Linked DNA regions of Coturnix japonica. The protein of the gene in region 1 interacts with the protein of each later gene in a pairwise test. Links are inferred from orthologs where the notes say so. Each region holds a gene or a part of one and is shown on either strand. Other genes may lie near its edges.

Region 1 (12,911 bases):
TTGTTTTCTTATTCAGATAGTTTAAATAAAGTTTTACTGGTCCCAGCTATTAAGGACATTTTTATTTCAACTACAACTTGCATGAAGTTATCAAAATTAAGGCTATTGCAATGCCTTAAAGTCCTCTGCATTAAGCACAGCTCTAAGCTCATAAATTAGAGTTTATTTATTATCAACAGGCAATAAACAAAGAACTGCTGAAGAGAAGGTGCTCACAGAGGAACCAGGAACAGGAAATCCCAATTCTGAGCAATTTGGTGTGCTCAGTAATCTGGAATTCACTTCATTACTGTAAGTGCACAGAGTAAAAGGGCTTTATTTATCCTAAGACTAAAAGTAAAAGGTCTTTAAATCCCGCTGTCAGTCTGCTGAGTGCAACCACTTCCAAACAGATGAGATAAACTTCTTTTACCTGGCAATTCATGTTGTCCTCAGCCTCAATGAGCTTCCCACGATACACCTCCCCAGTGTTGGTCTCGCAGGTCACAATGTGGCCCTCTGCCTCGTGCAGGACTTTAATGGGCACCCCGATGGACATGGCTGCAACACTGCGGCTCTACTCCTGGGACAGAGAGCACAACATAGAAGTGAATAAAGGAAACAAACTCCCAGTCGTTCTGCAGTTCGGCTTTGCCTACAGGAGCCGATTTGCTCCATTGAACAAAGGCCTCAGTGCTTTGGCAATACACGCCTATCCCAAGGCCCGGCCCAAGGCTGAGGGCAGCCCACCCTCTCAGCCCACATCTGCCGCCCTACGAAGCTGCAGGCACATAACAAACCCCCACAACAGACCCACCCCATAACAAACCGACCCTATAACAAACCCCCACCGACACTCACCTCCCACCAACCACCCTAATGGCCGCCGCCTTCCCGCCGTGCACAGAGCCCCGGAATCGGAAGGGCACAGGAGCGGATCCTGCTACTGCTCCTGTCCCTCAGGGTCTCGCTGCCTTATCACGATGGTTCCGCTGCACTTTTGTTCCTCCCGAAGGCAGCTCCCTCCCTCCCAGCTCCGAGCAGCCGCTTCGGGGTCCGCCCCCTCCGCAGCCGGGAGGAGCCGTCGCCGCAGCAGGGCATGGCGCGGCCCTAAGTCCGGCGGGGCGGGTAGTGAGCGGGCGGCCGCCGTCATGAGGAGCCCCCGGGAGCCGGGGGAGCCCCCTCCGCAGGCAGGTCAGTGACAGCTCCGGGGCCTCGGATCGGGGGCGGCCTGTCAAGCACTTGGTGGAGCTGAGAGTGCTCCGCCTTGTTTACAGCCGCGGGTCGGGCCGTGACAGCTCTGTTGGGGGTGGGGATGAGAAGCGGGCAGCGCTGGGCCTGGTTGTTACCTTTGAAGTCATAGTGTATGGAGAACAGGGACATCCACAGTGAGTTGTGGTGTTAGAAGGCCCTGGATGGTAACAGAGAATGGACCTGCTCATAACACAGCTCATAACACACCGCCAATGCTTACATTACTTCCTTCAAGCGGGATTTGAGGGGCTGTTTGTCCTTCTAAAGTATAATCAACATTGCTAACAAACACTGAGTACACCAATGGGTGTGTGCCAGCTTTCAAAGTTATGATTAAACCCAGTGACGTGATTGAGAAAGTGCACCGCGTTGTTGCTGCAATAAGCCGTAACTCAGTGAGAAAACAGTTTAAAACTGCAAGACATTGTCCATAAAGTTTTACATATAAAGCTGTGTTGAAACTGCAGCAGCCCCCAGGATGCTGAATGCTTTTTATCCCCATCTGAAAGCAGAGCTGACTCTGTGTTAGCAAAGGTTTCCAAGGGTCTGTACCAGATCGAAGGTAAAGTCATTAAGAAAAGCCTTTTATGATTAACTCACTTGGATTGTCTTTGAAGTTACAATGCCAAGCGGAAGCACTTCAGTCCATCAAGCAATCTGGGCTTTGCTGAAACTGAAACCACTACTACTGCCTGTAAAGAAATAACAAAGGATGAATTACTGATATTGCAGATTTTCTTGATATAGATTGGGTTTTGTCTCTCTTCTTTGGCCCTTTTACAGATGGTGTCATTTGTGAGCTGTCTTACCTTAAAAAATTACTCACAAAAAGACATGGCAGTAGAAGAGGCTGAAATCCATAGGGCTTGTAAGAAATCACTGCCTAGAGATCCTGGTTGTGTCTGTTTTTTACCCATTTGACCTATGACTTTTTGTTGGCACAGAATACAGAGCTGAGAACAAGCTGAATTGGAATGGTGAAGTACAGAAAAACATTCCCATATAACGACTGACAGCTTTTACATTTTACTCACACGGGGTGTTTTCACTGCAGGTGAATGTGTGCAGCTGAAAGTGCCCATCATTCAGCAGCTGTACCACTGGGACTGCGGGCTGGCCTGCTCCAGGATGGTGCTACAGTAAGTGCTGTTTTCATTGGAAGGGTGGGAAATCCCAACCCATGGGAGAGGGTATCAGGAAGCAATGTGCAGGGACATGAGGTGTATTGGAGCAGCTGTGAATTTTGCTTAGCAAGAACACATATCCCTGAATACCTTGGAGAATTACTGCTTCCAGGGCCTAGCACAGCAATCCAGAAGGGAAATTACAAGCTAAGACAAACTTAAGACCTTTTGAATAACTGTTCTGATTGATCAGCCCTGAGCTAACAATTAAGCAGTTTGGTATGCTTAAGCTGATAAGAAATTATCCCTCTTTCCTGTTGTTACAATTCAGAACTGGTATTTACCACAGCAAGTCACGTAATTCCTTTCTATATCATTATGCAGTGGATAGGTTTATCCTAGTTTCTGAGTATACTGCCTCTGTCCTGCTGAGCCCCCAGCCTGTGGGGTGAATGGTTTTTGTTCCAGGAGTTGTTTCAACATCACAGCTGTGCACTATATTGCCATCTCTTTTCTTTTTTTTTGTTTCTTTTTTCTTTTTTTTTTTGTGAACCTGTAGCTGTTCTTCTGAACTCCTCTTTCCTTCCACAGAGGAACATGTTAGGTGCAGGAGAAATACCTATTTAGATGTCCACTTAGTAGATATGAAGGAGAAGATTTTCATTTCTCTCCATCCCTTCTGCCAAGACGTTAGTCCGTGTGCTGGTAATTCCCATCTTGACTTCTGTAACCTCTGCCTCTTCATTCCCTTTAACCTCTTTGCCACACCAGTCTGTCCAAAACTCAGCATTCAAGATTAATATTCTCACCTTGCAGATCTGACCTTGTTTGCCCTGCTTCCTCAATTTGTTTTTTCTTCGTTTAATTCCATTTGTTTTGACCTCCAGAACTCTGTAACTGCCCTTCCCTATCCCTTTGCAACCTGTCCCAAGCTTTCTTCAGACTTCATCTCCCCCCTTACTGCCTTTTGTGTCATCAGTGCCTAAGCAGGCTTCCTTTGAATATTTATCAACTTCCTTTACAGTTCCTCCTTTTGAAATTCATCTGTTGCTTGGAGCAGGCTTTAGTCTTTACTGCTGCTTTCTGCATTTGCTCTATTAACCTTGTATATGTAGATTGTAAGCCCTTCAAGATAGTTCTATACTTGCTCAGTATAGCTTGCCTATTGTCCAGCATCCTGTATATATTTAGTACTACAGAGCAGTTGAGATACCTGTATATTTCCAATAAGAAAAGTCAGAAATAAATCCATTTATGTATTCTCTGCTTCCTTCCCTTAACTTTGTGGCTCATTTGTGGGTTGTTTTATGCTTATTTCTTAGCCAAGCCCATTGTATCAGTTTTTCTGTCCCATGGATGTGGAGGTTTGGGCTACAGAACATACTGTGCTTCTCCTAAGATCTGTGCTTCCTTTCCCCTACCTCTACTAATACCATAGGTACCTGGATCATTTGGACAATGATGAATTTCAGAAAGCCATCCAAGAGCTCCGGTTAACAAAGAGTATTTGGACCATTGACCTGGCCTACCTAATGCGGCACTTTGGTGTTAAGCATAAATTTTGCACCCAGACGCTTGGAGTGGACAAGGGTTACAAAAATCAGGTTAGTGTTCTCATTTATTGGGAAATGACAGGCAGTTTTAAAAGGGCCCCCTATGCATCATGCTAAAATACCTCTGCTGTCTTACTGCTAGTTAGATATAGCTCCCAGAAACAAGGTTTGCCCGCTGCCCGAACTGGTATGGATCTGTTCCAAAGCAGAAACTAGATATCTTCCCATCTTTGTTTACATCTTTGATTTCATAATATAAAGTTTTTTGTTTGTTTTGTTTTTTTAAAGTTTTCATGTAGCGTTCATGAAAAGTTACAGATTATTAACATCCTTGGAGACTGGAGCCCTCTACCTGCCTATGGAACAGGCACAGCCTGGGCAGCAGCAGTACTAGCTTCCAACATTCCCCACCACCATGACAGCCCAGACCTGGAGGAACCACCTCTAGAGGTGAGAGACCAGCTCAGCCTCCGTGTCCGTGAGAGCTTGGCCTCTTCCAAGTTTGCTAGTGAGCACTTACAGCAGCATTAGCTTTTGTGATACAGCCTTCTGCCCAATACAAACCAGAGAGACTTCCTTCATGTTGCCAGCTGAAGAGCCACTGCTTGGAAATTACAATAAGTGAGACCAGGAATGAAATTAAAGTGATAAATTAGAGCAAGAATTCTTATCTTAATAGCAATGAATGCAGGGCCTTGCTAGCAGAGATGGTGAAGTGGATTACCTTAGGTGAACGCCATTCTAGTTCACAACTTCTGTTGTCTCCAGTCATTTTACAGGAAGCACTTTGACACAGAAGAAAATCGAGTGAATCAGCTCTTTGCACAAGCCAAAGCCTCCAAGGTGCTGGTGGAGAAGTGGTAAGCTTATTGTTCTCTTCTCTCTTGTTGGAGACTCTGGATCCCATGTTAGTCACTGAGCTGAACTGGTGAAAGATAGGCTGAAATGAGACCTTCAGCCTTTCTGTGAATTAGTCTTTTTATTAAATGTCTTGAAAGAATGGATGTAAAGACTTAACAGTGAAGTCTGAGGAGCAATAATGATGACAGAGTGATTTGAAAATGCTGACGGGAGTAGACTACTAGTGTTCTTTTTCACAGTCTATATGGCACAGAGTCCGCATGGTACTACCTGTTAACTGAAGCTAACAGAGAAGGGACAGTTGGTCCATCTTGCTTTTAAGGATCATGTTCTTGATAAGGCAGGGACAGAGTGAATATCTACCTGATGCTTGGGGCATCAAACAGGAGAAGAAACAGTGGGAAGATTAAAAAGCACAAGTTCAGTCATGTGTAACACACAGCCCTACATCTAAAACACATCAAAGAGATGAGTTTTAATCCATCTGGAGTACACAGTGAAGGACAGTTTTTAACAAATGAGATTTTAGGTTATGGTTCATTAATTCTTCTTCTCTGTAGGAGGTGCTATAGAAACACAGCTGCAAAAGAACTCCAGCTCCTCTGTGTCAGGGAGAGAGGCAATTTGGGCGTGTAATTAAGTTAGTATACAGTCTTTAACTGTCAAGTTCTAATGGCAGGATGGAACACTTCACTTAAGATTTCCCCACAAGTCTCTCAAGTTATTAAGTTGCCAGTTCGTTTAATATTCTTATCCCAGACATGTGATACATTCGGATATTACACTTTTAGTAGTGCAGAATTCAGTGCTATTGCTCTGCACTTTAAACGCAGCAGTGAGATCCAAAGGCCTTGAATTTGGTCAGGCTTTCTCTGTAGCAAACCCTGGAGGTTTTAACATCATTGAAAACCTGTCTGTTTTTTTTCCCCCCACAGCACAGTAACAGTTCAAGACATCCAAAAACACCTGTCCCAAGGTCACGTAGCCATTGTTCTAGTGAATGCAGTCTTGTTGCTGTGTGACCTTTGCTCAAGTCCTGTCAAATATTGCTGCTTCCTACCCATTGGACAGAAGTGCTTCTGCAGGAATCCTGACTACCAGGGCCATTTCATTGTGTTATGTGGCTACAATACAGCCTCAGGGAGTATTTACTACAACAACCCTGCCTACGCTGACCGTGAGTAGCTTGCTCTTTTTGGGTGAATTCTCAGCCACCTCATCACTAACATTTCCATAATGCAAAGCCACACTAATGGGGACTTCCCATTTTAGCGTGCGCTTATTTCAAGCATTACTAAACAGTTTGTCAGAATAGGTTTTGTTACACTCATTAAATTAGTGCAGCCATTTGTTCTGTGATTTACTTCAGACGCTGAGATGCACATTCTAGCAAACTCAGAGTGGTTTGAGAGGTGCTGAACTGTACCTTTGTGCTGAGTAAAGCAAGATAACCAATTTAATACCTATTCACAGCATTACTTCTGTGAGCAATGTCTTTTAGATGAGAAGATAAACTTCACTGAGTGAAGCTGTAACATAAGATGATAAATCTAGTCAGTATATTAGTTACCTTTCTCTGCAGAGTCTGCTAGACCCAGAATAAGAGCCCCTCGCAAGCATCTTAATTTTTACTAACACTTTGCTCCTCTTTTAAATAGGGACATGCTGCACCAGCATCAGAAACTTTGAAGAAGCCAGGAGAAGCTACGGCACAGATGAGGATATTCTGTTCATCTACACAGACAGCTGACACCCACAGCTGTTACTTCTGGTCCTTTCTGGTGCAGCCTGCACAGCAGCTGGCTGCTTGTCTCAGGCCACCCCCTGCAGAGACCTTCCTCCTGAACTGCAGTGGGATCTTAAACAAGGGAGGTTTTATAGACATTGATAGGACTATATTGCAATGCTGTCTTTACCTTTTTATTCTGGATGAAATATCTGATTTTGCAATGTATGTCATAGTTGTGTTTTTTTTCCCCTCATTTTTAACACTGCACATTTGACAGCAGTTTTGAAATACAGGCCTAAGGCCTGTTCACTTGGAGCTTATTTTCAAATGATATGCATGAGGAAAAAAAGCACCAAATTTATCAAGTTCAACACTCAGTAATAGATACGTATGTCTAGGTAAACAGAAGCAGAAAAAGAATAGACAATACCTGTTTCACTCTCTTTCAAGCAGGGGCTGATTTTCATCCTCAGTCTAAGGATCTGAGGTTCAGCAGGGAATTAATGAAACAAAGAAATACTGATGTTAAACCACCTTACCTTCAAATGATGGAATTGCCTTATTGGCCACTCAGTATTACAACAGTGAAACATTTACTCAAGGAAGCTTCCCACAAGATTCACCTTGCACAGTTTTAGCATTTATAGTACATGGGATTCAGTTTTGAATAGCAGTTACTGAGATTGTTCCCTTGTGCTGCAAACTCCATCTCTTTTGGCTAAATATTTTTAGGTGACTGTCTAGGGCTCTGTATTACCTCAAACGTTTAGGTAAGGATATTTTATTTGGACCTAGGAGTCTTCATTGCACTTTGCAAAATCCTCTAGACATTATTGCACCCATATGTGCAATTATCTGATGCACCCAATCTAAATATATGTTTATGAAGCAAATACAGAAATCATCCACACACTAACGGTGCATGTTTTGTGTGTAAATTTTAAATAACAAGAGAGACTAGATTGTAACTAAAATGCTGAATCATATTTTGAGCCAAACTTCCCTATTTGCTTTCATTTAGCTAGCTTCTCAGAAGAGCTTAATTAAGAATACTGTGAATACAAGCTTCTTTTTGCTGCAGTAACAACAACAACAAAAAAAAAAAACCAAAAAACTTATACTGCAGCTGCATTTGGATTAAGTGGGAGCTCTGTTCAAACATTTTCAAGTGAAATTGTTAGTAGTCCATTCATAATCCTGTCATGTATTACCAGGGTTTAGTGACCATGCTGGGGAGCACTGTAAAGGTGTAGAAATAGCCACCTATTTCAGATTTGGCCATCACAATTTCTGACAGGTAGGTAAAATTGTTAGTACTCGTGTATTTCTGGCAACATTTTGTTCTACACTTCAGGCAGAGATCTCCTGACATGGCTTTAGGAACGAAACTGTTCAGGTTTTGGAACTGTGTGGAATAACAATAAAAGGATATTGTTATTTAGTGGGGGAAATACTTTCAGCATGAGGAAATTTCTGAGAGAAACTATCTTCTACTATTGCTGGTTTACTGCAGACTATCTGGAAAGCATGCAGTAAGTATGCATAGTAAAATCAAAAGCACTCCTTTGTACAGAAGCCAAAAAACAGCAATGTAAGTGTAAAATGCTTTGAGAAGTTCTGAACAAGGTGTACACAATAAGAAACTCTCAGTGTACCTTATCCTGTTTATCAGGGTGAAGCTGGATTACATTCTGGCAGCTGTCCATGCAAAATGAATGAAAACTGGGATGTATCTGTGATCAGCAAAACCACTATATTAGCAGAAACCCAGAAAATGATCAGAGTACAAATCCTACAGTACACGATCCCTCCGACATTAGTCAGCAGATGGCTACCGGTCTTGGAAATTTTATATCCACGTTCAAATTCACAATGTTTGGCTTAGAGGGATTGTATTAACTATGTTAATAATTAACAGCTATATAAATTACAGGCTGATAAAAATAGTTACTTTCTTAACCCAGGCGTTTTCCTTCAGGTAGTCCATTGAGTAGCATTGAACTGCCACAGAATTAATTTTTTTAGAGCAGGCTTGGTTAGCAAATAGATAAATAAATTCTTACAAAAGATGTGTAACTGACGTTAGCTTCCACATGTGAACCTTGAGCTTGTATATAAAACATGAACTTAAGGGCATGGTAAATGGTCTGAAATGTACAGAACCAAAGCTGTTTATGTTAATACAGATGAAATGGGAGCTCCGCTTACTACAGCAGGATCTCTAATAGCCAAATAGAATATGGTAATGAGAGAGGAAAATACAAGGAAGAAGAAGGAGGGAAGCAAAAAGGTGACTTACTTAAATGACACAAAATCAGGTCAAAAAGAAACTCACTGGCCAAGTGTCCAGAACACCTGCATTTTGTGGCATATTGTTTTCCATGGGAAGATCATCCATCAAAACATTCATTCTGAAAATGTGTAGTCAATCACTTTGTTTCCTTCATGCTGTCCATAGCAAAGGAGGGGGTATTTTACATGCAGGGATTTTATACATAAATATATTTTTATTTGTAATTAAGCCATTCTCAATAAAGGTTTTAAGTCATGGTTAACCCTGTAACGTGACGTAGCAGGTATATTTATCTACTGGTTTATTATGAAAAACGTTGGAAAATCTTTAGAGGGTATGTTTTATACTTAACTGGCACAGCTTAAATGGTTGTGTGGATTTCTCCTTTTTAGGAGATCAAACATTTGATCCACTGTTACAGTGGGACAGAAACCACTCCCCACACCCTCACCTAGAGGCTCAGGGTCCTGGCAGACACAAGAAGCCTGACCACCAGTGAAGACTGAGGCAAAGCACTCATTGAGTACCTCAGCTTTTTCTGTGTCTGAGGAAGCCAGCTCCCCATTACCTTTCATCAGAGGGGGAACACTGTCCTTGGCCTGTCTCCTCCTGCCTATGTACCTGTAGGAAAAAAAAAGCATCTGCCTTCCAGCCCTGCTTTTACACCCCAAACGTGCCCATCCCAGACAGTGGTCCAACTAGGGCTGAAATATATGTAGTGTGACAGGAAATACAAAGAACCAAAGTGGTGATAGTTTACAGGACACACAGATCTCCAAACAACTAGGACATGCGTGGGATGATATTTAGCTCTAGCAGAACTGCATTAAATGGGTGGCAATTAAAAACAAAGAAACAAGCAAAAAATAACAAAACAAAAATCAACCAAAAACCATGAAAACAGTTTATGTCTCCTTTCTCCTTCAATTATGCATTTGGGTAGAGTGTATAAACTGGAAAGCAGAAGCAGACAGACATGCAACTCAAAATACTTATATATAAAATCTTTTTTTAATCTCCTCTCCATCAAACTGTGCAACCCTGTAGACAATACTGGATAAATGCCATCATCATTGTGTATCGATGTATTCTTCATTGAATATAGTTCTAACAAGGAACAAAGGTTTGGAATCATTAGTGCAAACAAAAAAGAACTAACAAACAGAACTCATTTTTTTATTATTTTACTTCACATAGTTTTGAACCCTACTATTTGCAGAGAATTAAAATAACATGAAAATAACAACTTGTAATTCGTAGTAAATTAATGCAAAGTTGCACCTTTTCATTTGCTTTGTACCATTTGATTGTATTAAGCTGATCTCACTCACTCTCGGATTATGTTGGGTGTAAAACAAGGCTGGACTGCTTCAGTGAGCTCGTCTGCATACATTTCATATCTACCAGTCATCTGCAAAAGGAAATCAAAGCTTCAGTTCCGTTAGCTATGAAAATATGTCCATAAAAAAGCAATATCTACCATGTGTTTGTTTCTTAATGTAGGCATAATAGTTAACTGACTTAAATAGTAAGATGAGAATTCAGTCAAAAAGCAAACCCTCCAAAGTGAAAGTCCTTCAAGTCTGCTGACTTAAGGCTGTGTTTTAACATCCTGGATAGCTGGAAGCTGAAGGTGAAAATCAGGCTTGCTTTTTTACTCATCAACAACATTCACTTTTAAGTCAGTTATGTCAAGGATAGAAAAGGAGCGTACCTACAATTTATGTCTTTGTATGATGTCCTTGACAACTGATTCAACCAACTGCCAGCAGCAGGTGTGCATATGCATCACTGAGGGGATTTGGTTACTCTCAGTTCACCCATTAGTAGTACAAACTATTGTAGATTTGGATGATGAGTTATAGGACAAGCTAGGATACTGGGATACAACACTCTGCATTCTGGTATCCTCTTCCCAAGTGCACAGTCTGCAAAGTGAATTGCTCCTCTCTTGCCAGCATGTAATGAGGACAACCCATATAACTGTTTTGTTGCCAATAAATCTTATATTGATGTGCTACTGATGGCCCATTCGGGTTTCACTGGGTATAAATAGCAGATACTGAGACAAGTTAACTAAGTGCCTAAGCACTACAAAAGGATTTCTGCAGTGGACAAATGATTTTGTATTTCCTTATTCTCCTCATATCAAAGCACTATCTCTGTCTTGGCCACAAATGAGAGGAAAACTATATAGATATCCCCTGTCATGTAAACAAAAGCCACAGCTGTGCCTCATGTGCCAAAAGACCAATGGTGGTAATGCACACCATCAACAGAAAACTGCAACGTGCTGAGAGCACAATTGAATTAAAAATAAAAATAAAATATTCTATACAAGACAGCTAAAGGTCAGTGCTTTGCTTTTAATGCTTTTACTGGGTTTTTTTTGTCTCCTAATCAATACAATTGCTTTTGATTGGATGCCCCTACAATGCTCCATATGCTTCCTGCCACATTACATCTCTGCTCTGCAAAGATGGCTTAAGATTTCAGTTGTAAAGCATAACTAAATAAATGCCTGCACGACTCAGAAGCCAAGGGATTTCACTGCACAATTTAAGCCCATTAGGCCAACCACCATATGCCTACCACGTACCTGCAACACATCACATGCAATTCTGTACAGAAAAGGACCTAACACTGCTTTACCATTTAATGCCTATATACAGATGAGCAGTGCTCACAGAGAAATTTGGCTCTAAGAACTGATTAACTAAAACATCAAGATTGTTTGCAAATTATTATCTATTTTATATACTTGAGGTGGGAACAACTTAAATGAGCACTTAAATGCTGCTGGAGGAGGTACTCCAAATTCATAGAACAATAGAATCAAGGACAGAAAAGTCCTCCAAGATCCTCTAATGCAACCATCCACCTACCACCTACATAACCCAAATTAGCTTTGGCTGAGAATTCAAAACATCTAAGCCATGTTAAACCACACAGAAAGACTTGCAATTGCCTTGATCTGGTTGAGATTAACTCAAAAGCATATCAGGACGCTTCAAAGAAACTATGCTTCTTTTTCCTCTGTAGCACGTGCATGTCCACAAATCCAGAAAGTTATCACTGTAAGATTTTTGCACATACACAAAGGTAAGCTCTTCATTTCAAGGCTATTGCCTTGGTTTCCCTGAATTTGACTATTCCCTTTCTGTACCCATTTATACCTTTAGCCTCCACAACATCCTCAAAACCATTCTATTCTTTCCACAGTTTAAGCCGTGGGTTGCTGAAGGAAGGCTGCCTTTTAACTGCTGTAATGCTACACGACTGCTAGGAAAGCTTGTTTGCTCTAATACCATACATGAATTGTTCTTAAAAACAGGCATTTCTTTATATTTAGGCTTACCTTAAAATTCCATTTGTCACTGACTTGTCTGCAAAGATTTAAATCCATCTCTACGACAAGAAGTCCATCCTGAGTACGAGAGAGTCCCGGGGTCCTGCTGCCATCTGGTGCAGCTACGTAACTTGAGCCATAGAAATGGCCCAAGTCATGGTGTGCTTAAAGAAATGTTTAATAAACATGTAATGTTTGCAAACAACTACACAACTTCACATGCAGTTCCCCATAGTACTCGGTTCTATTTCCTGTGGCTGTCCCTTTGCAGCGCTTCAAGCAGTATCTCATCCCAAGCAGTTTACAGCACAATCTTAAGATAACTGCAAGTTTGACCTTTAGTTATTTTTCATGTACAGTACAGCTTTCAAATCTATCAAACAAATAGAAAAAAACAACTAACTTCATTGCTTCTAAATAATGCATGATGCTTTCCCATTACTAAGCCACTACACTAAATGCCTAAATAAATAAAAAATGAAAGCAAAAATTTAATTGAATGCTAATTGTCAAATAATAAACTTCCAAAACAGTCAGAGATGCACACATTTAATTTTTAATACAAGACCTGAGGTGAAAGCATGGAAATTTGAGGCAGGAAAAAATCGTACTTCATACTGTACAGCTCCAAACTGTGCCAACCATCAGCCATACACACTGCATGACCATATATTGGATATCACTAACCTTGATGCAGCTGCATCTCTTAATTATTAATTATAATCAGTTGGTTTTCTTTGGTTTCTCAACCAGTCCTTACTTGGAAGTT
Region 2 (12,618 bases), on another chromosome or scaffold:
TCCAGGCTGCCCGGGGGGTGGGGGTGGGGGGTTACCATCCCTGGGGGTGTTCAGAGCTGTGGGGATGTGGCACTGAGGGGTGTAGGCTGGGGCTGGGTTGGGGGGCTCAGAGGGCTTTTCCAACCCAACTGGTTATGTGATCAGGTAGCTGCTTTTTTTTTTCCTGCCTTAAGCTTTCCACTGAAAGGCTTTGAAGACAGGAAGGAGGAATCTCTTTATTCTGTTCCTGAAGCGCCAAAGCGCTTCATTTGTTTCATCTTCCAACCGAACAAATGAGCAGCTGTTAAATGAAAGTACTTCTTAGTCTGTGTGATTCTACCTTCCCACTATTTCTTCTCCATGATGATTAAGAACACAGCAATCTTCAGACTTAGAAATAAAAATGTACTGATCAGCCTTATGTAGTGAACAGCATGGAACTGTGCAGTCTTGGCTTCCATGGGTGCAAATAAGAGGCTGGAGATCAGCAAAGGAAACTTCCTAAAATCGTTTCACTCCGTGTCTCTGCTTTTTCCTTTTGTAAAGGTACAAACAGATACTTCCAGACAATAGCCTCGGAAATGGGCTTAAAAATAGTTTTTGTGGACTGTACAAAATTGAAATGCCTGGAAGCTGCAATTACACCTGAGACTAAGGTAGGGGAGAGAGAAATTGCTGAGCTTATATGCTTAATGACCTTAAATAACTTTATTGATGCTACTGCTGGCTGGTATGTGGCAAGGTTTTGGTGATGGAAAGGGCTCAGGCACTGGGTGGAGGCAGGAGGAGAGAAAGAGTAGGAAACAACAGAGGGAACCGCAAGATCAGAGGAGGAGGATGGAGGAGGGGGAAGAGATGCACAATGGCACAAAGGAGAGAAGTTGCCCTCTGGATGGTAGGGAGGAAAGGTGTTTCATTGGCAATAAATTAAACTGCTTTCTCCAGGTTGCCCATGATACCAGTTGGTGGTTGGTCCGCCTGTCTGTTGTGACCTACGAGCATTCTCATTTGAGCCTTGAGTGTCTGCCTAGCGCAGGGATCATAACTGGCCCTATGATGGGCTGTTATTTACTGTATAAAATAAAACAAATGCAGTGCCTGGACATAATTACTTTCTGAAATCTCCAGGAAGCATTAAATAATTGGACAATTTCCAAGTGCCTTAAGATTAGAAATAGGAGAACATCCCTAAGCAGTAAGGGCTTGTTCAGAGAGATGTGTTGCCTCTTCCTATTGAGGAGGAGAAAGAAGTCTTTTCTGATACCTACGTTACTGTTGGCAGTCTAAAGGAGCTTTTTTTCTTTTTCTTTTTTTTTTGGGGGGGGGGGGAGTTGCAGTTAGTGACACTGTAACCATGATATGAAAATGAATAAGGAGTACTTTGGAACAGTAACAGTTTTAGAGTAACATATAGCAGAGTAATAATTCTTTAAGTAAATACAGTGTTTGTGATGGTGGAACTGATAGTAGTAGAACTGTCCTAAAAGATACCGATGGTGATTAGTGGTGGTAACAGTACCTTGTGTTTATTTGTGAAGCCTGGGTATTCCTGCTTTGATAGGTTTTTAGGTGGGTACCTTTAAAAATTCGTAAGAGGTGGGAAAGTTTTGCTTTTGGCGCTGCATTGTGCATGTCTGGTCACCAGCACTGTCGTATCCCTAAAGAGATGCTTTGTATTGTTGAATTACTACAGCTTGTTTGGATTGAAACGCCCACAAACCCCACGCTGAAGGTCATTGATATTCAGGGCTGTGCTGATGTGGTCCATAAGCATAAAGATATTCTTCTGGCAGTAGACAACAGTTTTATGTCTCCATATTTCCAGGTAAGTGCTTGCTTTCCTTGTAGTTACCCTGGCATTTCAATGTCTTCAAAGATGCCTTTTTTAAAATGGAACCACTGCTAAAACCGTCGTTTTGATGTGTGTGCTGTAAAATTGCCTCTAAATGCAAGCAATGCGCTGCTTCTTTATAATTTAGCAGAGATGGCATGCAAAATACTTTATAGCTAGCTATATGCCAGTCTGACACCAACAAAAGCAATGTGGCTCACAGCTTAAGTAAACAAGCTTATGCAATCAAGAAGGTAAGTTGAGCCATCAGGACGAAAGCTACTCTGTCACTCAGAAGTCTTGTGTTTTGTAGATCTAACAGGTGGGAATCCTAACAGACCTACTGAAAAATGTATTGTTCTCCACCTTTGTCTTTTTTTCTACCAGTTCTTCTGCATGTGCTGCTTGAGATCTGTTTTTGGTATTCCAAAAAGGAAGTGGAGAGAATGGTTAAAAGAAGAAAAAGATTTTAACTGTGTCTTTCAGGTGTTAAAGTTAACTTTTTCACCAGTATTTTGATGAACAGGTTTTGATGTTGGACAACTCATACAACTTTTGTGCTTTAATAACTAGAATACAGGAAGTAAAGGGAATTCCAGAACTCTAAAAGTACTTCTAAATAATGAACTTCAAGGTCTGGTTCATCTCAGTGTGGGCTAGAAGTATCCCCATGTATTTCCCCAGAGATCAAAGAAATCCCTCATCTTTTAGGTCTTTAGGTCTACAAAGAACTTCTTTTTGAGTGCAAGTAGGGAAGATGTCTTTTTTTCTGTTTTCTTTTTTTTTTTTTTTTTTTAAATTTTTTTTATTATGGTCACTGAGATCGTTATAAATTAAGAGAGCCCTACAGGAAGTGTTAATGCTTAGCTAGAGCAGCTCTTGAGCTTGTCTTGTATATACCAAAGATGCTGGTTTCTTTTCCTTTTATTTATTTTACTGTTGAAAGATGTGTGTGTAAGGAGAAGAGTCAGCATCTGTGTCTGTGAGCTAGTTAATGTATACTTCATTGGACTGGTCCTCAGAGGGAGTCAGTAATGATTAAGCCCAGTAAGCATAATAGGTAATGTTTTTAAACTCCTCCAGACTCCTGAGTGTACTAAGAAAATCATAATTTTAGAGTGATTTATGTAGCAATATTGAGTATAAAAGGCACTGGTGTTTATGCTACTGTTCTCTTGGCTGCACAGTGGGAATGCACATTATCCATGTTCCTGCGGTAGACTTACGTGCTTAAGCTGACAGCAACACTCTTTTATTCTAAATCTGCTTGCTTTGTCACCTTTTAATGTATTAGTACTCTCCAGTCTTTATAATCTGTTTATTTTATACACGTAAAGTCCTTTACTTAGGGACTAATTAAAAAAAAAAAAGTTCATAACTTCTTGCCTAGTGTAGTCTTGGTTTGACTCTCGCCTGAGAAAGGCTCCTAGGCTGAACATTGAGCACACCAGGGATGGGAGACTTGGCAAACAACGCCCTCTGTGCTTTCCTCAGGTGTCCAGCTGTCCTTCCAGTGCAGTAGCAGCAATGTGGGTTTCTGGAGAACTGAGAAGAGCTCTGCTTAGTGTGGAGGCCTTCCTTTTCTAAGGAGATACGCTCGAGGCAGCATTACATGGCACTGCCTCAGCTAAGCAACATAACTGGTTTAAGAACGAAGTGCTTTCTTTTACATCTGGTTTTTGTCCCACTTTCTATCTTTCTTCACTCTCACTTTTGTGTCTTGCTTTTGTTTTTCCTCTTAGTTTCTCTCTCTTGTAACTTTCTGTGCTTGATCACAGTGTTTCTGGGCAGCTTGGAAGGAACCAGAGCGCAAAAGTAACTTTAATCAAACCTATTATTTTCATTTCTTTTTAGCGTCCTTTGTCCCTGGGAGCTGACATCTGTATGTATTCTGCAACCAAATATGTGAATGGTGAGTGCTTGGGTCCAGCACAACTCAGGCTGTTACAGAAAACCCATTTAAAAGCTACTGCAGAGGTTTTCTGCTCTCACCTGTTGATCCACTTCCATGTCTCATGGATGCTTTTAAACTCCCTTTTGCCATAGATAAATCCATAGGTAGTAGCTGTTGCTATTAGCACCAACAAGCAACATTGTGCAAACACAGTTTGCATGGTGATGGAGCCCAGATGGTTGGTTTTAATAAGAAAAACAAATCTACAAGATCAGAGTCTTTTTCAAACTTGGGCTCCCTCCAGGCTCAGCTGGTCTTACACTGTCCCACATGGAACAGTCTTGAGCAATGAAAAGCCAAAAGTGGCTTTTGGAAATGCACCATGCACATGCACTGAGCCATAAAACCAAATGTGAGACTTCAGTACAAGGTCGCTGCTGGAATTGATACCAAAGTTGAAGGCATGTTTTATGTGGCGGTGCTGGAGCCTGTTCAGAAGCACATTCACTGTGTTGTTTCCTAAACAACCCAGGCTAAGGGGTGGCCCAGCAGTAACAGCTGTGCTGTGAGCATGTGTCTGCTTGTGGTGCAGACTAAAGTGGAAGTTTTCTGCTTGGCTGCAGCTCCACAGGAGCTCGACGGTGGCTGGACAAAGTCCTGCTTCCTGGCAGCTCACTGCAGCATGTGATGGGACCTGGAGCACCAGCACAGTGTGTGTCAGAGCACACTGCTGACCCTCACTTCAGATCATGTGGGAATCTGCTTATGTTCCACATGACAGCACAGCAAGGGCAGCTGTAGCAGCGAGAAGGAATCCAGCATGTTGCCAAAATGGGACTATCTTAGCACCAAGACTGAGAAAAGAGAGGGTTTGTGGAGAACCCTGGTGGAGATAAAGTGGCTCACTTTCTTCTTATGTTCTTGCATTTTTAGGGCACAGTGATGTTGTGATGGGGCTCGTTTCAGTAAATCGTGATGATCTGTACGAAAGGCTGAAATTCTTACAAGGCTGTAAGTAGTAAATGTAGGAAATAAGTTTAAATATATTGTATTCTGATGTACCAGCTCATGCTAGGAAGCATATGGCATGCACACAAGTACGTGGCACATCCAGAAAGCATCAGGTGCAGAGTGGCTCAAATGTGCAGTGCCTGCAGTTACACGGGGCATGGCTCTTCACCAGGTCTCTCTTCAGGTTAGGATTAAGTCTATGGCAGAAAGAGCACAGGCATTTCCTGGATTTACCTGACTTCACTCACAAAAAGGTTTGCAAACCTTGACATATTTGGTGAAGTTCATCCAATTCATGCTAATTATATTTTATTTTTAAAAACTATCCTCTGATGTGAGTTTTAATGATTTTATTGCCTCTTAATTATATTGAATAAATTTCCATGCAGTGTCCTCTCTACAACAGAAGGAATAAAGGTACACTGTACCTAATAAATTTTGTGTGCAAGTCTTCAGTGTGTTAATTTATCTCACTAATTGGCTTCCCATGTGTGTGAAGCAAGAGCAGCAGATCGTATCAGATGTCTTCACTCGCGTCTTGTTGTAACTTAAGAACGTTGGGAAGTTTGGACTGTAGTTTCACTGAAACAAGCAAACAAACAACAACAAAACCAACAAGAAAACCCCTCTTTGTTCCATGTGTGGTTTTGTGTCTCAATTCCCATAGCAATCGGAGCCATTCCGTCTCCCTTTGACTGCTTCCTCTGCAACCGGGGTCTGAAGACTCTGAAGCTGCGGATGAATCAACACTTCCACAATGCTTTGGCTGTGGGTCGATTCCTTGAGTCAAATCCCAGAGTGGAGAAAGTCATTTACCCAGGTAGGTTGGCAGAACTGCAGGGTCTGGGTGCTGCGCTGCTACGTGCCGCTTGAGCAGCCTTCACGTCTGATGGCTCGTGGTTAGGTATCTCGGCAATGAGCTTTACATTCCTTCCCATCAGAAGGATGTTTTGTGCAGTTCAGGGTGAGCTGCTGTACCCTTTGATGTGATGGTAATTAACTGACAGTGGCTCCTTCTGATTTCAGGATTGCCTTCCCACCCCCAGCACCAGCTGGTCAAGCGGCAGTGCACCGGCTGTTCAGGGATGCTGTCATTTTACATTAAAGGAAACCTCAAACATGCTACTATCTTTCTGAAGAGCATAAAGGTAAATGATGGCAAATACACTCTACTTTAATGTGAACTGAATCTGTCCTTCTGAGTGTGATGATGGAAGCAGGGTTTATTCTTGGGGCAGGGAGAGTCTTCCTCTGTACTTTTAAAGCTCCTAATTTATTTTGGGTGTAGCCATCTCTAAATAATAGATTGTGCATAAATTAGACGCTAATGAGAGGGAAGAAAAGGATATTTCAGCTCATTTGAGGTGTCTGTTTACACAATGTGGTGTAACGTCTCCAGGTTAGCCCAGGCATTGCTTCTAACCAAGAGCTGGCCTATTCTAATTGCCTGCAGTACTTGAAGGCAGAGTGGCTGGTGCAATACTGCTGTTGAATTTCAAAGCACTTGTCAAGACATTCTTCAAAACGGTAAATGAACCTAATCCAGAGTTAGGTTTGCTCAGCATGGGCGTACAGTTTTGCATCTGCAGTTCTTCAGAGCTGTTTTGAAGTGAAATCTTGATGGCTCTTAACCACTAAAAGTAATTTTCTTCTTCATTATAGTTAATACTTCTTAAAATACAGAAGTCACTGTTGAAAACCATAGGGAAAATTACGTACTAAAAATGGAGGTTTCTTTTTCTTTCACTGTCTATTTCTAAGCATTAATAAACTTATGCTTTTTGTGTTCACTTCTGTTTACTGTTTCCCTGTAGGTGTTCACACTGGCTGAGAGCCTGGGAGGATATGAAAGCTTAGCAGAGCTTCCGTAAGTCCTTCTTCATCTTAACAGTCCTAAAAAAGCTGCAGAGTAACAAAATTCCTCAACTTTTTTTGTGGGAGTTCTAAAATGTTCAGGTATACAAAGCAAAGATAGATTGCCTACAATTGTCATCCAAGAATAGCGTGTTGTGTAACACAAAAATGGAGACTTCTCCAGAAATGAATTCCCTCTGTGAAACAGGAAGGCCGACTGGTGTGAGGTGGGCGTGCAGACCTGAGGCTGTGCAGATGTCTTCACTGCTGCAGACGTTGGGGTTGAGGCCTGGAAGGCTCCCCCTCCCTCCCCAAGCTCTGGATGTTGGTCACCCATCTGCTCGGGTGGCCCCAGCAGCTGCAGCAATTTCTTGCTGTGGGATTCTTCCAGAATCACCTGTTACAAAAATCTCAACAGCAAACGGGTTGAAAGGGGAGGAAAATGTTCATGTGGTTTAAATAGTGTCTGTCCTGACAAGGCTAAGCTGTTCTGCACTTGTGGTCTCTGCACATATGCAAAATAGCACTGCCCACTTGCATTCAGTGGGCTCCCCTGAATGCACTGTGGAGAGGCGAGAAGTATGACATGCAGTAGCGGGAGCAGCCCATGGAAGCTGCCCCAGGGAGATGCGTTGTCTGCACAGATGGCTCCAAGTGCTGTGCCTGCATCTGTACTTGCCTGGCTCTCCTGGCTCAAGCTAGACCTGCATTTTAAATAAACATCCAAGCACATTCATCAACACTCTCTTTTCCATTTCCTCAGTCACCCTGTGGTGCTGCTGGCCATGGCTGGAATTTCTCACTAGCTCTTGGCTCTGCTGAACAAATCATTCCAGAAGCACTGTGCATTTTAGCAACAGATTTGCATTACTTTCAGCAATACTACTGCTGCCAATGTCCTCACTTAGTGCTGTAGGTGGGAGACTTAGCCACCGTTTGGTGTTACGGTAGCAATTCCAAGGAGTCAGGGTGATTTAGAGCAAGTAGAATCGAGTGGATTTGGCTACACTGCCGTTCTAGCTGCTTACACAAGAGGGCACATTCAGTACGTTGCACTGAACCGAGCCTGTCTGCATGCTCAGCAGACTTGGTGGGGATTTTAGTAGTTCGTAGGCACCACTGTCCAGGTTAAAGGGTTACTAGTAGGATTCTTCTGTAATGAGATTGCTTTGCTGAAATCTGATTTGCTAGTCAAAAAATACATGGAAAGTTAAGGTTAAAGATCTGTTAAATCATTTTGGTTTCTCATTTTGGGATGAGGCATCTTTAAACACTTCAGCTGTTGAAAGGTAATTGCAGAGTAGTGGATGTCAGTGACAAATGGCTTCTTAGCTTCCTTCATAGCTGGGGAGAATATTCTTCCACATGCATGGTACAGTGTGACGGGTGATCTGAGGAACCAGAAGTGAGAAACAAATATCAGGGGATTTCATAGTGGAGGTGGCACATGTAAACCTTTCCCCACATGCTTAAAATAGAGCTTTTAGATGCCACTTACCAGAAATGTTAGCATATGTCTGGAAGGCGGAGAGAAAGTGTTTTTCTCAATTTCAGTTCCAGATTATTTAAGTATCCACTTCTTACTCATCGTTCTTTGGAAATACTGTACTGAGATTCCGGGAGGTGGAAGCCACTGGCTTCACCATGGTTGGCATAAGGTGCAGTAATTGATGATGAAATCTCTTTTGGTCTATGGTTATCCAGCAGGTGGCATGTCAAAGGTGTAAAGTCTTCTTGGAACTACAGGGAATGCTGGCAGGTGATCCATTTCCTTGATTTTTTCAAGTAAAAATAACGTACCTTAGGAAAAATTCTGCTTTCTTCCATCTTCTTGCAGGGCTGTCATGACTCATGCTTCAGTGCGTAAAGAAGACAGAGAAGCTCTTGGAATCAGCGATACATTAATTCGCCTGTCAATTGGTTTGGAAGATGAGGAAGATTTAGTGGAAGACCTAGACCAAGCTCTGAAAGCTGCAGTAAGTTGGCTGCTAGCTTAGCGCCTTTACTCTGAAAAGGATTTCCTCCCTAATTCTCGGCCTTTCTCACTAGTCACATGTGAACTCTTTCAGCATCCATCCTGAATCTCAGGAATAAGTTAATGAAGTGATGCAGCAGCTGTCTCCTCATAATTCTTGCTTCACTTAACTTTTAAGTGACTCAGAAGTGTACTTTATGGAGTCTTTGCAGTCCTCATTAGTCACAGTTCATGTGGATTCCTGCTGCAAATAGGATGTCCTTGGAGCCCAAACAGCTAAGACAGCTGCTTGAGTCAGCCTGAATGGAGACTCATCAGGCATCCAAGTGCTTGGTGGGAGTGCTTGCACTTCCACTTTGTCATGTCATGTCAGAGAGCAGGGTGGCACTGAGGGGGTAAAAAGTGAATGTGGGTTGTGCACCGTTTTTAGCAGGTGTGTAGCAGTTTGATGTACTGCACAGACAGGAAAGTGTTGTGTCTAATTGGTTGTGTGAGATGCCTGTAGCAACCAGCATCAGAAACTACATGTGTTTCTATACACCAGCACAGATGATGAAGAAAATCTAGTGCTTAAATGTGTCCTATTTCTGCAAAAGAAAAGAAAACAAAAGAGGTACCTGGTCATTGTAAGAGCACAGCCTAATTACTCACATTTCTCCTTCTCACTGTAGATCCCTGACCCTAAGGCTTTGAAATGATGGCTGAAACCTGGAGACATCTAAAGAAGATGATGCAGAAAATCAAACGGCTGACAATTTTTCTTTGATATACCTTTGAGAACTGAAATCTATTCAATCAAACTCTGGGTTCCTGGGGAGCTGTCACTTTGTGGTACCATGCTTGTTGGGCTCGTGTCTGGTTGTGCACGTGCTGTGCACTGTGACATGAAGCCTGTGCTGTTCTGTGTGTCCATTTCTGCTGTGCTGTGACCCTCTTTCTTTGGAACTGGTGGGTCAGTAAGTTGTGTTTGAGAGCAGCCATGAGACACACTCAGGAATACTGTCATGATTCTCTCCAGGGAGATGGATGTTTCCCATTTGCCTTACTAATGCTTTAGGGGTGCCGGATCAGTAGGGTTTGTTTCTGCTAATGCTCTTTAGGATGCAAATTTCTGTTTTTCTTATCTCTTCTAATCTAACTGTTTAACCTAAATATTGCTGATAACGTTTAGATTTTCCTTTTTAATGAGGTTTTGAAATCTGGTTTAGTACTTTTTCATCTTTTATGGGATATTGAAGCAAAATCCAATGTCTGGTTAAGAATTGCAGCTTTTTAAAGGTGATTCTCTGACCTAAAAAAAAAATTATAATGTGCTAACTGTGGTAATGATTTGGTTTTTAGAGTTAGGATCGTTTTGATTAAAACACAATTTGAATCTCTCTGATTTATTCTTGTTGTGATATTTGGGTGCGCTGGTCGCGTTCTGGATCGGTTGATAAAGTGACCCTCAATCTGTTAAAATTTATAGTTAAATTTATAGGAAAATGACATCATTGATGTAGTGGAACAGGTTGCCCAAGGAGGCTGTGGATGCCCCATCCCTGCAGGCATTCAAGGCCAGGCTGGATGTGGCTCTGGGCAGCCTGGGCTGCTGGTTGGTGGCCCTGCACACAGCAGGGGGTTGGAGCTGGATGAGCACTGTGGGCCTTTGCAACCCAGGCCGTTCTATGATCCTGTGATGTTTTACTTTCATCAAGAAATAGAAATTCCGACACGCTAACTGCAGTGCTCAGGCAAGCAAGGCTTTCCCTTGGACAGGAGGGCGACTCACAGAAGGGCACCTATTTGCAGATGAGGGCTGTGCTGCACGGAGATTCTGCTGTGGCCTTTGGCAGCATCCACACCAGGCTCAGGCCCAGCAGCTTTCTCAGCCAGGCCCGGGCTTTGCTTTTCTTCTCTTTCATTTTCCTAATGGGAGCTGATAGGAAATGCTGCTTGACGACTTCTCTCTCATCAGCTGTTCAAAAGCTAGAAGCCGAGATGAAACACATTCATTTGCATCTTAGCCCTAGAAGTGCTAATTGTGATTCATTCTCTGCTAACCTGTCTGGAAGGAGAGTGAGACATCACAGATAGATGTTCATTGACTTCTGCAGAATGAGCATTGCTGCTGAGCTGTCGGGATAGACATGCATTTGACCCTAAGTATAAAAGCATCATTTGACATCATGACATTAATTCCACAGGAAGAACTTCAGCAAATAATTCTTTTTATGTGTAACTATGGGTACAGCTTTATAACTATTGATCCACTCGGGTACCCAGAAGACAGAAAATACAGCCACGGTGGATTATTCACTCTTCCTTTTTCTCTGTATTGTTGTGTTTTGGCAATGACAAAAGGAGAACAAGCATTCCCCTTCTTTGTTTCTTTTCATAACTTCATAACTGAAAAAGACATGAGCCCTGTTTTCTCAGAAGTTGATTTTGCTTCTTCAGAAGTGACCGTGGTATGGAGACAGCAGGGTTTCTTTGGCTGTCTTTTGTATATATTTAAAACAAGAAGTGTCGAGGTGCCCCAGGTGGAGCCTGGTGAAGGGGCAGTGGATGCACTGGCTGTGCTCTGTGTGCCAGTGTTCCCATGGCTGCAGTCTGCCGATGCTGCTGGTCAGCCAGGGCCTTTCCCCAGCTCTCCTGCAAATGCCTCCATCATAGAATTTAACCTCTTCTAATCTGCTTCAACTGGAAAACATAATTAGCTTCTGACTGTCAGTTCTGCGGGCACTGAGGTGAGGCCCGAGGGAGCCATCACTTGTATTTCACCGTGGAAATTTCTGCAGTGGATTTGTCTCAGAATAAATTGCTCAGTGACAATGTGAATGACACAGAACCAGTGCAAGTGGTGAGACCAGGTCAGGGATAAATGTGATAAAGGTGGGATACTGTCAGCAAACGAGAATGCTTTGAAACAGGCAAAATAAGTGAGGACGTCTAACAAATGGTCCATCAGGGCTCCCTGTGGACTGCAGGGGGTGAATCGTGGTCTGTCTGGTGTTTCACAGAACGTTCTCTCTGAAGGTAAGAGGACTTTCATCCTCTGATTAGATTTTGGGCATGTGGCTTCAGATTGCATTACACTTCAAGGGAAAGTTCTTCTTTTATGTCGGGTCCCAGATTGTGCTCCTTTTGAAGAAAAATTACATTTGCTCCCCAGAAAATGGTTGTGTAGTGCTTGGCCCTAGGAGTGAGGACAATTAGAGAGCATCTGGGCAGAGGAGATGAGTGGCCTAATGGCATTAGGAGCGAGGTGAGCCATACGAGGTGTGATCTGTCCTGCCCTGCTGCCTGCGCTGTGCAGCATTCAGTGCTGGCCGATGCTCGCATGTGGCAGCAAGAGGAGCCCACAGCTCCCTCCAGGCCCAGATTCCTCACACTTGACCTCTTGCTGTTTTCTGGCCGCTGTCACATTTGCAGTGTTTTGATGGAGGTTTTTTTTTGTTTTCCAGCCGCAGCGCAGCCAAGAGCCGCAGCACATTAGTCAGATCAGTTCTTAGAAACTCCAAGCTTTTACTTACAGGAAAGTTGCTGTAATTGAAATCTGCTATTTGTCATAATTATGTAAACTAATATATGTATAAAATATCAAGTGCATATTTTCCATCTGGATGATGGTGCTCAGTGTGAGTGCAGGCCCTGGCAGCTCCACTGACCCCATGCCTGCGGTGCTGCAGGTCAGGGCAGGCAGATGGCTGCTATGCAGCATCCTGTGTGCTGACTGCTGCTATGGGCGTTCACTCCAGCAAGGTGAGTGCAGTCCTGTGTTAGCACAGCTTGCTTTGCCCCTGCAGCCCTGCCTTTGGGGAGCACTGGAATGGAGTGTGAGGCTGAGAAGCGCTTCATGATTATTTTACCCACTGCCGTGTGTGGCAGCTGATTTACAAATGCCGTTTTCACTCCCTCATGTCAGCTCCCTTTAGGAAAACATCCTCCCACGTCCTGCCCAAAGGTTGTGCAGCATGAGGCAGCAGCAGGAGGCTCCATCACACAGCCACACCTCAGCAGACCCACAACACAGGTCCCAGCTTAGGGACACTGTGCTCAGTGGGCCAGGGCGCTGCTGGGGGTGAGCCTGGG

Evidence for each region.
Region 2: the proteins of GUCD1 (region 1) and CTH interact in binary tests that used the Homo sapiens proteins (3 or more experiments, as listed by UniProt). The two-hybrid records come from large-scale screens. The link is inferred for Coturnix japonica from reciprocal best matches to the Homo sapiens genes GUCD1 and CTH.

What each region holds. Positions count from the first base shown.
Region 1 is NC_029530.1:7,449,825-7,462,735, forward strand, and holds GUCD1 (protein GUCD1), read left to right. Parts: upstream 1-939; 5' UTR 940-962; coding exon 963-1,173; intron 1,174-2,287; coding exon 2,288-2,372; intron 2,373-3,795; coding exon 3,796-3,961; intron 3,962-4,198; coding exon 4,199-4,360; intron 4,361-4,678; coding exon 4,679-4,770; intron 4,771-5,706; coding exon 5,707-5,948; intron 5,949-6,429; coding exon 6,430-6,521; 3' UTR 6,522-9,063; downstream 9,064-12,911. Other genes in the region: SNRPD3 (small nuclear ribonucleoprotein Sm D3), read right to left, coding at 413-538; UPB1 (beta-ureidopropionase), read right to left, coding at 10,121-10,204, 12,152-12,306.
Region 2 is NC_029523.1:26,179,264-26,191,881, forward strand, and holds the end of CTH (cystathionine gamma-lyase), read left to right. Parts: intron 1-525; coding exon 526-635; intron 636-1,672; coding exon 1,673-1,804; intron 1,805-3,664; coding exon 3,665-3,722; intron 3,723-4,637; coding exon 4,638-4,715; intron 4,716-5,382; coding exon 5,383-5,535; intron 5,536-5,741; coding exon 5,742-5,863; intron 5,864-6,529; coding exon 6,530-6,582; intron 6,583-8,406; coding exon 8,407-8,545; intron 8,546-9,215; coding exon 9,216-9,242; 3' UTR 9,243-9,928; downstream 9,929-12,618. UniProt on the Homo sapiens protein: Catalyzes the last step in the trans-sulfuration pathway from L-methionine to L-cysteine in a pyridoxal-5'-phosphate (PLP)-dependent manner, which consists on cleaving the L,L-cystathionine molecule into L-cysteine, ammonia and 2-oxobutanoate.